Schizosaccharomyces pombe: one gene and its partner. Changing the gene in region 1 together with any one later gene gives a genetic interaction. Each region holds a gene or a part of one and is shown on either strand. Other genes may lie near its edges. The genes, in order: sre1 and dsc5.

Evidence for each region.
Region 2: of sre1 (region 1) and dsc5, extra expression of one rescues a mutant of the other (dosage rescue), as found in Schizosaccharomyces pombe (one study listed by BioGRID).

What each region holds. Positions count from the first base shown.
Region 1 is NC_003423.3:1,689,158-1,695,241, reverse strand, and holds sre1 (transcription factor Sre1), read right to left. Parts: upstream 3,849-6,084; 5' UTR 3,415-3,848; coding exon 712-3,414; 3' UTR 551-711; downstream 1-550. Other genes in the region: SPOM_SPBC19C2.10 (BAR adaptor protein ), read right to left, coding at 1-21; U4/U5/U6 small nuclear ribonucleoprotein complex subunit PRP38, read right to left, coding at 4,264-4,754, 4,953-5,094; fructose-bisphosphate aldolase Fba1, read right to left, coding at 5,799-6,084.
Region 2 is NC_003421.2:1,813,977-1,818,903, forward strand, and holds dsc5 (UBA/UAS domain-containing protein), read left to right. Parts: upstream 1-2,108; 5' UTR 2,109-2,125; coding exon 2,126-2,233; exon of another isoform or gene 2,234-2,420; coding exon 2,421-3,596; 3' UTR 3,597-4,427; downstream 4,428-4,927. Other genes in the region: SPRY domain membrane protein, specificity factor required for ubiquitination Ear1, read right to left, coding at 359-1,507; U6 snRNP-associated protein Lsm7, read left to right, coding at 4,448-4,497, 4,552-4,843. UniProt on the Schizosaccharomyces pombe protein: Involved in protein degradation through the ubiquitin/proteasome pathway.

The DNA of each region.
Region 1 (6,084 bases):
CTTTGCAAAATGTTTGTTCATCTTCAAAGGAGAGCTAAGTTCTTGAATCGACAAATAATAAAAGCGAGTCTATTTATTTTTATTTTAGGTTGTAGGATTCAGAATAAGTTAACCAATATAGTAGTAAATAATACATAAAAACAATTTGGTAGTTTGTTTACCTTTGGTGAATGGTTCGTATTACTCCCGAGATTTCAGTAAGGACGGAACTACGTACTGTACCGTAAAACTTCAGACCACTCTTATCTATCTTATGCATTTCCATTTTATTAATAATTGACATTCTTTTTTTTATACAATTGGTATAAAATGGATATCAGCAGTCTAAGATTCAACACATCTTCATCAACAGCAGAGAGTTAACTGCAAGAGAAGAATCCAATTTTTTAATCTTGCCAATGTGTCATTATTTAAAAAAATAGTTAGTTCGATGAACCTTAGCATGCCTCAAATTGTACTCTATTCATTTTATTTAATCACCAAATATACTCAAATGGTGAATTGTGCTAGCTTGATACAACAAAATAACTCTAATTGCATATTTTTATCACTGCTCTTACCGACGACAACTGTAATTTATTAAAAGAATAATTAAAACTAAAAAATGATACGCAAAATAACTGATGAAATAACAATCATGGAAAATAATAAGGTAGTTGCAATAGATGAGCGTTGTATACTAACTGTTCTCAAAGCTCGAGAATCGACAATTTAAGCTGATGAAACATAACCCAAATCTTCTTGTAAGCGAGATCCAATATCTATGCAAGAGTTGATTAACTTACGAGATAATTTCAAATCTTGAATTTTCAAAGTTCCGATGGCCGTCCGCACGTACATGGCCATCTTTTCAACGACATCGTTTTCCTTTGGAGATGTGCAAATAGGAGCAAAAGTGTTCAAAGCGGTCCAGGAAATAATAAAAGATAAAGGTGTAATGTCTGCATCACTATCAGGTACAAAGATTTCCTGATACATACGTTTAGAAACATCCCCGTATCCAAGGCGTTGGAGTGCTAATGATAGGCATGAGTGGAGTGTGAATAGCTTGGATAAGTTGATCTTTAACACGCTTGACTGCTTGCGTTTATCTTGGCTGCATAAATCCAAAGTGTTCTTGTATGCTGCAAGGACTTCATTCAAAGAATCAGCTGTATTCTCGGGGAACAAAACCAATTTAGCTAGTAAAGCATGACGAATAATAGAGGAGTTCTTAGGACAAAGGGAAATAATTTCCTCAATCTCGGATATCTCAACTTTACGGCTCAAACTTTCCATCAAAAGGGCATCCAACAAATCAGCGGCATACCATGAGGCAAGCACCTCTAGAGGAGATAAAACCAAAACATCAGATAAGGAGCTAATAATACTATCTGACATTTGAGCAGAGTCACGGGTGCACTTTGCTAGAACCCACAATCGCTCAACCATATTCGGAGAGAAAACGTCGTCAGCGTGGGAGTTTTCAATTAGGTTAGCAGTACACTCAGGAAGCTCACGTAACTCCGCGTGTACAGAACTTTTGCTATGTTGTTTCTTTGCAGCATTCCAGAAGAAAGCAACGCACTTCGAAACGATAGCGGATGGGACAGAGGTGTTGGAAAAAATTAGTTGGCAATACATTGCTTGTAAAGCACAAGTATGACTTGAAGGAGGAAGAGAAAATGAACTGGCAAATACCATTAAGAGCCTCAAACGGTCAACTTTAGCATCACCACCCATTAATTGGGCATCCAAAAGCTTTTCCATGTTGCGAACTTCAGCAAGTTGTTGCTCACTATAAACCCAATTCTCAGAGGAGGTATAAAGAGCACTCAAACGATGAGTCAAATAGCCATAAGCAGATTTAAGAGTGAAGATCAGTAATCCAAAAAATAGAGAAATAGTCGAAGTAGAATGGTCCAATAAACAATACTTTTCGAATACGGTTTTTCGGAATAAGATTGAGGATGGTGACATGGAAGATCTGGTACTAACTTTAGATTTCTTTTCACCCTTGAAGCCTTTGAAAAGAGAGTTATCGTGCAAAAGATAGAATAAACCGAGTAAAACAACACCAATTTTCAGCATGTTAAAGAGAACAGTACCTGTGAATGGAGACATAAGAAAAGGTGGAAGAGCGAATAAACCATAAACAGATTGAGAAGAATCGTTTCCAAAATAATTGAATAGACCAAGTCCAACCATGCCATTTAGTGCTGTGCGGCCCATGGTATTTAGGGTTGGGGAAGTAAAAGCTCTTTGGGTTAGGTTTGGTCGAGAAGATTGGTGAACAGAATAGTCAGATGAGGAAACAACATTAACAGAGTTAACGGCTCGAGTATCGTTAGAAGGAGGAGCCATCGAAGGATCTTCGTAGAAAGCCAGCCTATCTGAAAGCTGCTTGTTAGTCTTCTGTAGTTCCTTATTCTTGGCCTCCAAATGTCTGATATACTCAGTTGCTTTTGCCAATATTGTACCCTTGTTAAGCTTACGAGCGGGTGTCAAACCCCCCAAATCCTCATCGTCCAGAGAATTACCACAACGAAGTGCAGCAGCAGCACGAAGTGAAGGAACTGCATCACGCAATTCACAAATTCGGTCGTTCAAGTTGGTTCTGTATCTCTTCTCAATCATGTTATGAGCTGTCTTCTTTGGTTTTCCTCCAGGACCGGCTACAAAATCTGGGGTTTCAGAAGGAGATAATGAGCCTCTAGACTTGGGGGCCGAAAAAGGTAATGTTTCAGGAATTGAGCAAGAATCTTCCGAGGAAGGAGACAACTTTATTTTCTTGGCAGAAGGTTCAGGCTTGCAAGTGGTGTCCATGGGTGTAATAATTTCTTCGGTTTTCAATTTGACTTCTGGATTTGACATATCAGCTGAAGGATAATTTTGAACAGTCGATGGATCGATTGTATCAACAGAGTGAAGGATTTTCATTTGGCGCTGAATTTTATCATCGGCATCGAACTCATTCAATGATGGGCCGGTAAAGGTCTCATTCTGAAATGAATTTGGAGAGCCGCAATTAGAGAGAAGAGGATTTGTAGAGTTTTCTAACGAGTTAGGGGAGCCCATGTTGGTCGAAGTAAACAGAGGAGGCGCCGAGTTCATCGTATTGTCGAACGCAAAAGGGTTAAGCCAATTGCTCATTGATGACTCCATATCAGAAAGGGAAAACGAATGGGGAGACAACGAGGTGTTGGTCAAGGTTGGAGGTGAGTCCTCGACAATGCTAGCCAAATCACACAACAGATTGGAACAATTCTCCACAAAGGGAGTAGAAGTTGAAGCCTTTGTCGATGAAGCCAAAGGGGATGAAGAAGGAATCGCACCCACTGAATTGGGTGATTTGCTGTCAGGCGAAGCTTTTGTTGGAGTTTCCATTGCAGGAGAAGCGACCGACACGGAAACTGACGGAATTGAGCTTTGCATATTTAACAAAATTTCCAGCTAGAACCAAGCGGAATTTAACAGCGAGTTAAAAAATCCAACAATAAAGAGAAATTGAATTTAACTCTTAGGGTTTTTTATCTCTGTGACTGTATAGGATGTTGAGCGAATTTTCTAATCGAGCTACAAATTATCCAAAATTTGACGCATTAAAAGCTATCCAAGGCGATAGATAGCAAAATAATTTCTTGAATGAGTTGTAAAATAAAATAATGTTCTTAGCAAGAAGGAAATCCAGCTTGATAATCGTTTAAGATTAGGTTATAGCAAGAGTCGAGCGCAGTAAACAAACTCTCAGCAACAACCCAATTGTTGTCAATGAACTTATAAAGGCTACTGGACGTCCTATAAGTAAAAAAATTTAAAATCGATCACCCGATAAGCAAAGTTAGGATTGCTCGAGTATGGTAATGGATGAAAGAGAAAAGTCGTGTTAATTCATATGTGAGCAAAAAAGAAGTGGACTGACATGTTTTTAACGAAACGTAAGAAAATAGACGGAATGGGGTGATTCGTTAAAGTATGGTGTGAAAAAAATTCCGTGGCGTATCAAAGACATTTTATAAATATTTAGTGTGCTGTAAACTAAGTCTATCGAAATTTGTTTACAAGAAAAAATAGCGTATTTGCGATAATATGTGAAATCGATATATATTAATATACAAATCTATTTGATTAGATGTTTGTTATTCATAAATTGTTTTTTAATAAGTTCAAGTGTAAAACCATTTCAATCCATAACTTTTCCTTGTAGAGTCATTCCAAGTTAAATCGTAGACGCATCACAAAATGCGTGCTTCGCTTTACTCTTTTTTTGTATATTACTTATCCTTAAATATTCCGATCTACAGCACCTTCATTGCTCTCCAATTTACTAATTTGTTCTTCATCATCATCTTCTTCGTCTGAAGAAGATGAAAGTGGTTCAAGCAAGTCCAAATCTTCAAGTTGGAGTCGACTTCGCAATGGGGGCAGGGAAATATCGCAAACTACTTCGGCATTTAGCAAATCATCAACAACCTCATCCAGATATGTTAATCGGATCTCAGAATTAGTACGAATTCTTAATTTCCGATAATCTCTTAACAGCGGTTCCAACGTTTGATGCACTTCCACATCATCCCATGTAAGCCGAACGTAAAATGCAGCCAGGGCACGTAAATACTTGAATTCAGGAATAGATAGGTACTGTTGAATTATTTCTTTTTCAGGTGCAATTTGTAAAAGCTTGTATAACAAACAGATAAACTCGGTGGGCCGTTGATTTCCATACTGACCACCTATATATTCAAGCCGTACTGCACGATCCACCAATGAACAAGCTAAGATGTATTAGTCAGTGAATTTGGAATAACAGTTTGAGGACTGATTAAAACAGCAAGTACCTATACTTGGTTTCTTTGCTTGCCAAATCAAGTTCATTTAGGCTATATCACTCAAAATATCGATTTGGAAAGTAATCGTACTTGAACTCTAATATGTAAAAACACTTTCCTTTTCTGTCAATGAAGAACACATACCATTCAATCCAAAACATTGTTCTTTCCAGTAAATAGAATCTACTATGCGTTCTCTCAAGATTTTTCCTATAAGGAAAGTCGGCAGCATTTCATGCGCCGCCTCACCTTGAGAGCGATAATCTCTAGCAAGAAAATCAGCCATAGTACCTCATGAAGAGAATGATTGCTCCAACCTTGATGTCTTGACTTGGAGTAAGCTTTTAAGGAGCAGTAGTGTACTGACAATATAAGTGGTCAAGTCTGAAGAAGCATGCTGAGTTTTGATTGAGAAAGGGTTATCTAAAAAAAACATGGATTCGTGAAATATGGAGGAAAAGGGAAAATGCCCGTACTCATTGCAATGAAAGAAGAAAAAGTTGATCTACTAAACAATGCACACTGTGTACACAAAGCACATGAAATTCAAGCGATTATGTTGTTTTAAGCTACTCATCGAGATTTGCCAAACGATATATATTAAATTCAAATAAACGCACGGACATATTATTTATTCATTCATTGTCATGTGGAATCGGAAATTTTTTTTTTGTAAATTTATATACCTAAGAACACATTAACCAATTAAGGAAGATGAATAAAAGGATAAAAAGAAAAATCTTAACAATATACAGTATGCTTGAAAAACACTTTACAAATCCAATCCAAAAAAATTTCTTAACTTACTTTGCCCTACTTTACTTCAAATATCTCTTATGCTTTTACAATGGTAATTTTAAAAAACAATGTCTCTATATTCAAACACGTAATTTCAAAACAGTATGAACTCTCATTAAGGGGACAAAAAAATATAATTTTAATGAAGCCCACCGTCTATTCAATCATTTCCATCTTTCAAAAACCACAAATTTAGAGAGTGTTGACAGTGTAGAAGTCCTCAAGAGCGGTAAGAACACGCTTGGTCATGGTCTTCTCACCCTCATGGATCCAGACACGAGGGTCGAACTTCTTCTTGTTGGGCTTGTCAGCTCCCTCGGGGTTACCGACGGGGGTCATAAGGTAGTCCTTGTACTTCAAGACATAGTCACGGACACCCTCGACGTAGGCGAATTGGGTATCAGTGTCAATGTTGACCTTGACGACACCGCACTTGATACCAGTACGGAACTCGTTGACAGAGGAACCGGAACCACCG
Region 2 (4,927 bases), on another chromosome or scaffold:
CCCTATGAATTCCTCCGTTAAAACTTCTCACCAGCGGAATTCGATGAAGGTTGATGTTAACAGTATAGACTCAATAGCAACATTATACGAAAAATCATAATAAATTGTGAATAACCTTTTATTAATTGAGCGAATAAACATAGAGTAAATTTAATTAAGATTAATAATTATAACTAATTTTGAAGAAATTATTATAAAGAAAATAAATACATTGAACATCAACACATCCCCTTCAATTCATATACAAAGTGCATTTCTCGATTTTAGGACTAACTTGAAACACAACGCACAAACATTTCCACAACTTGATCTTTGGTTTTGGCGTGAAGGTTGTTAGTGCTAAGCTATACATTACTCCTTATACTTCATCGGTAGCAGGCATGGAGTGCATTTGATAAGCTTGATTGTTGGATGATGATGGACTGAAAACATTACCAGCCGCATCATACGAGGTACCATCAAAATTTATTGGAGGTGACCTATTTTTCGATTTGTCGGGTCTATTTGTATCGCCCTGCGTTGTTGTACCCGCTGAAGACTCACTAGCTGCATCCCAACTAATAGTTGGCTGCGATGTAGAATACGACGGAGGAGGAGCCAAGCTTCCAACCGCAGGAGCGAGTCTCCATTTCTTGATGTTTGCTTCAATAAATACATATCCTGCTTGTCCAAGATTGACATGTAAGGTACAAGGTCCAATTGCACCAACCGTAGGATACAAATTTCGATATGTACACGGCAGTTCTGCACACCGACGACCGTTACGTGTAAAGAAGATCCGATTGCACTTCGGTTTGTAACCAACACCAATTACATCTCCCTGCTGGTAGAAAGAGGAGTACGGTTTTCCCGTAAATGGTGAATTACTGCGGCGTGTTCCATCCGACACATAAGCAGTAGACCAAAAATTCCAACCAGGCAATCGAAACGGCGGATATGGCTTGGTAGCCAGACCGATGGAAACCAAGGTATCAATAGGTACGTCTAAAAGTTTTACTTCAAAATAGTATACTTCATTGATCCTCTGCAAAGGCAAATTGGTTTGCATGCAACATTCTTCGTTGCCCAAAAAAGACAATTCAGTTTTATTTTTAACATAGCAATTATATTCCTGATTTGGGATAAAGTGCCATGCTAATACGCCCTTCTCTTGAACTTGTAGGAAGTCAAGCAGCTTTGCATCCGTGTTGACGTTAGATTTCATGGAATTCAACTCAAACTCACGAGCTTGTAAATACCGTTCTTTCCCCATATCATCCAATAAACTAAATCCTTCTTCATCAATATGTTCATTCTCTAACGCTTCGTCGTCCAACTCACCAGGATTGGTGTTTTTCAGCAAGATCCGTCCATGTCGTGTGTATCGCAGTAATAAGATGACTGACAAAAGACAGATTAAAAGAACAATGACAGCGGCTAATGCAATAAATATGAAAAGGATTGCTAAATTAGGATGGGTGTTTGAAGATTCCTGTAATCTCAACTGGCGAATCTGATCGGGATGCATGACTCAAAGACGCAAAAAATAATTTTTTATATAAGATTTGAAAAAGGAAAATCTGCGAGTGTATATTTAATAGAGAAATAAATAACTGAGAGTAAAATCCTAGCTATAAGAGGATATAGTATAGGGTTAAGAGAAAAAGGATTTTTCTCTCAGATATGCAGTTTATTAAGCACGAGATACAATATTTAAATCTAACGTAGATGCAAGTATCTCAAATATTGCACTAATATGGTTTTTGCGAATGCTCAAGGATTGGGCGAAATGGTATACTTGTTTCAAGTTTACAGGAGAAAATACAAACTCCTTTAAATAAATAAGATATAATTCTTAAGATAAAAAAGAATTTATTCCTGAAGGAGCCACAATGGCCTGTTGTAAGGTAAAATCGAAAATCAGCGGCAATTTACCAGATAATACTGCTCCGTCACAATTATGCTTATAAGTTTTCTGTTTTTACAACCATAGATTGGAATTAACCAAATTTTTATTCGAAAATTTACTTTGATTCGTTCAATGTTTGCTTCCGGATTTCAGATGGTAATGGGAAAAGGAAGGTTACGAAGCACCACGTAAAGGCCACATGGATACTACTCCGTCCATTAACCAACAACACCTACCATGTCAGGGTCTCGAAAACAAGAAGCAATAGACGAATTAAGGAACTCTCTTGATGTTCCTGCTGATACTGCTCAATCTGTTTTGGAATCATTTAATTGGGACGTTCAGGTATGTGACACGGCAAGCATTCATTTTCAGTATTCGATAGTGATCAATTGCTTTGATTGAAAAATTCCAAGAAAGTTGTTATTTGCAACTGAACATTCATGGAATCCTCTGGTTGTCGTTTATTTTTCTAATCGAATTTTCGGTGAATGTTGGGACTGAGCCATTTTGCTAACTGTTTTATGATTAGGAAGCGATCGAGAGTTTAACTGGAGAATCGTCAAGAGTCGATAGAAATTCAAAGCTTGGATTAAGTTTCGGCGTCTTTCAATCTGTTTTTTCTTTGCTATTCAGTGGGTTGCACAAACTATGGATGATTTTGTCAAGGGTTCCTCTGATTTCAACATTTATCCCCATTTTTGGTACTACTAAGCGTGTCCTTTCTCCTGCAGACACTGCGAACAAGCTGGTTCAGAATTTAGAAGAGCAATACGGTACTGAGCATATTGATTTTTTTACTGATGGCGGCTACATGGAAGCGTTGACACGTATTAAGCGTAATTATGGAGTCGCATTGCTTTTCTTTACTAGCTCAAAGAATGATGACTCTGAGACGTTTTCCAGGAGTGTTCTTATGAACCAAGAGCTAAAGGAATTTTTAAATCGTCGAAACATTCTTTGCTGGACTGGTGATGTTTGTGAGGATGAGGCTTTCCGAGGTTCTCGTCAATTCCACTGCACTAAATTTCCCTCCGCAGTCCTTGTTATGTATTCACCTCAGCTATCTGAGCTTGTAGTTGCCGCCCAACTCCATGGATGTCTTGATAGTTCCAGCATCATTACCAATCTAACTAATGCTTTGGCTAAACATCTTCCTTCTCTTGAGCGTTTCCGTTCGGAGAGAGAAGCACGAGAAGCTGCTCGCGAGTTACGACGTCAACAAGACAATGCCTATCAAGCGTCCCTTGCCCGCGATCGCGAGCGTCAAGCTTTCGCGAGAGCAGAAGAAGAGCGTCTTGCAAAGGAGAAAGAAGAAAGAGAAATCGTTCAGAAAAAGAAAAAACAATATCGTGCTTGGCTTGCTTCTAATCTTCCACCGGAGCCATCATCTGAAGATGAACCTGCTCGTCTTTCGATCCGTTTTCCCGACGGATCTCGGGCTGTTCGAAGGTTTAAGAAGGATGATACTGTTGAATCCGTTTACAACTATGTGGATTATATGCTTTTTGAAAAAGAGGAGCCTGAAGAATTCGGTCGCGCTACTTCATCTTCTAATCCGGTCACTCCACCAAGTGACTATAAGCATGATTTTCATTTTCAACTATATTCTTCTTTGCCCAGAGCTTTGCTGAAACCATCAGTGGCTATTTCTACTAACAAAGCCATCTTTCCAAATGGCACTGTGGTGGTGGAGCTGGATGATTGAAATTAACAAAATTGTTTGTCTTTTTAAATCATAATGACAATTTACGACTATCGACGTTTCGAATCCGTTTTTAAATACATTTCTAAGATTTGATGTATGATGAATTTATTTTCTCTTTTCTATTTCTACTACTGAATTAATTGTTGTTTATGGCATGAATGTCTACTGGACGCATTGACTTTTTATTTTGAGCAAACTTTCAATGCACCCTTTAATCTGAGTACATAGTCGATTTCCACTAGATTTTCTGTTCTTTGCCAAAAACCTTTTCTATGCATGTCATCTTCATCTCTGTTTTCTACGATTTTCTTTGCAATGGAGGACAAAGGCTAGTAATTTAGGCTTTGTAGCATAAAAGTTTTGCCAGCTTTCGTCTGTGATGAGTGAGGTATGTATTATGAACATAAATTTGTTTAAAATATAAATCTTTCTTTATTGCAATTCGAAAAAGTCTAGTGGCTTTGTTTCTAAACAGCTTAAATTTTACCTTTAAACTTTCATTAATGTTAAATTTTTATATAATTAATATACAAATTAGTGCATTAGATTCACTTTATGTCAAGCATTATGACCCCAAGCATGGAATTTCTCAACGTTTCTAACAAAATTGGAAAAGTAAAGCGGTGAAATTATTTCCTTTCAGACTGAGCAAGTTTATTTTACATTCCTTTCTGTAGCGTGTTTTATATTCCATTTACTGCTATGTCTTAAGTCATTCAAATTGAACCATATAAGGATACGTTCGATCACGTTACAATCATCGTAAAAAGGAGAATCGTCAAGTTGAACCTGTACTTTATTCTTTTCTGGGCAATAGCTGATAATTTACCTGGTTATTCTAGATACAAAGAATGTCCAGTCTTCAAAAACGCCCTGGCCCAGGTAACTCTAGTCAACCGACGTAAGTCTAGCAGGAACGAGCAGCATCATGAGTTTTGCTAACTTTCTTAAATAGTGAAAGACCAAGAAAAGAATCTATCCTTGATCTTTCTAGATATCAAGATCAACGAATTCAAGCCACGTTTACGGGGGGCCGACAAATTACCGGTATTCTAAAAGGATTCGATCAGTTGATGAACCTTGTACTTGACGATGTAGAGGAACAGCTTCGCAATCCTGAGGATGGTAAACTTACTGGAGCTATTAGAAAGTTAGGTCTTGTAGTCGTTCGTGGAACAACTTTAGTTTTGATTGCTCCCATGGATGGTTCTGAGGAGATACCGAATCCATTCGTCCAAGCTGAATAAAAAGCCACAAGCCCTTCATTTGATGTTTGACTATTGTTAATAAAATACTACAAGTTAATTATTATACCGCATGTGCATGTTTTG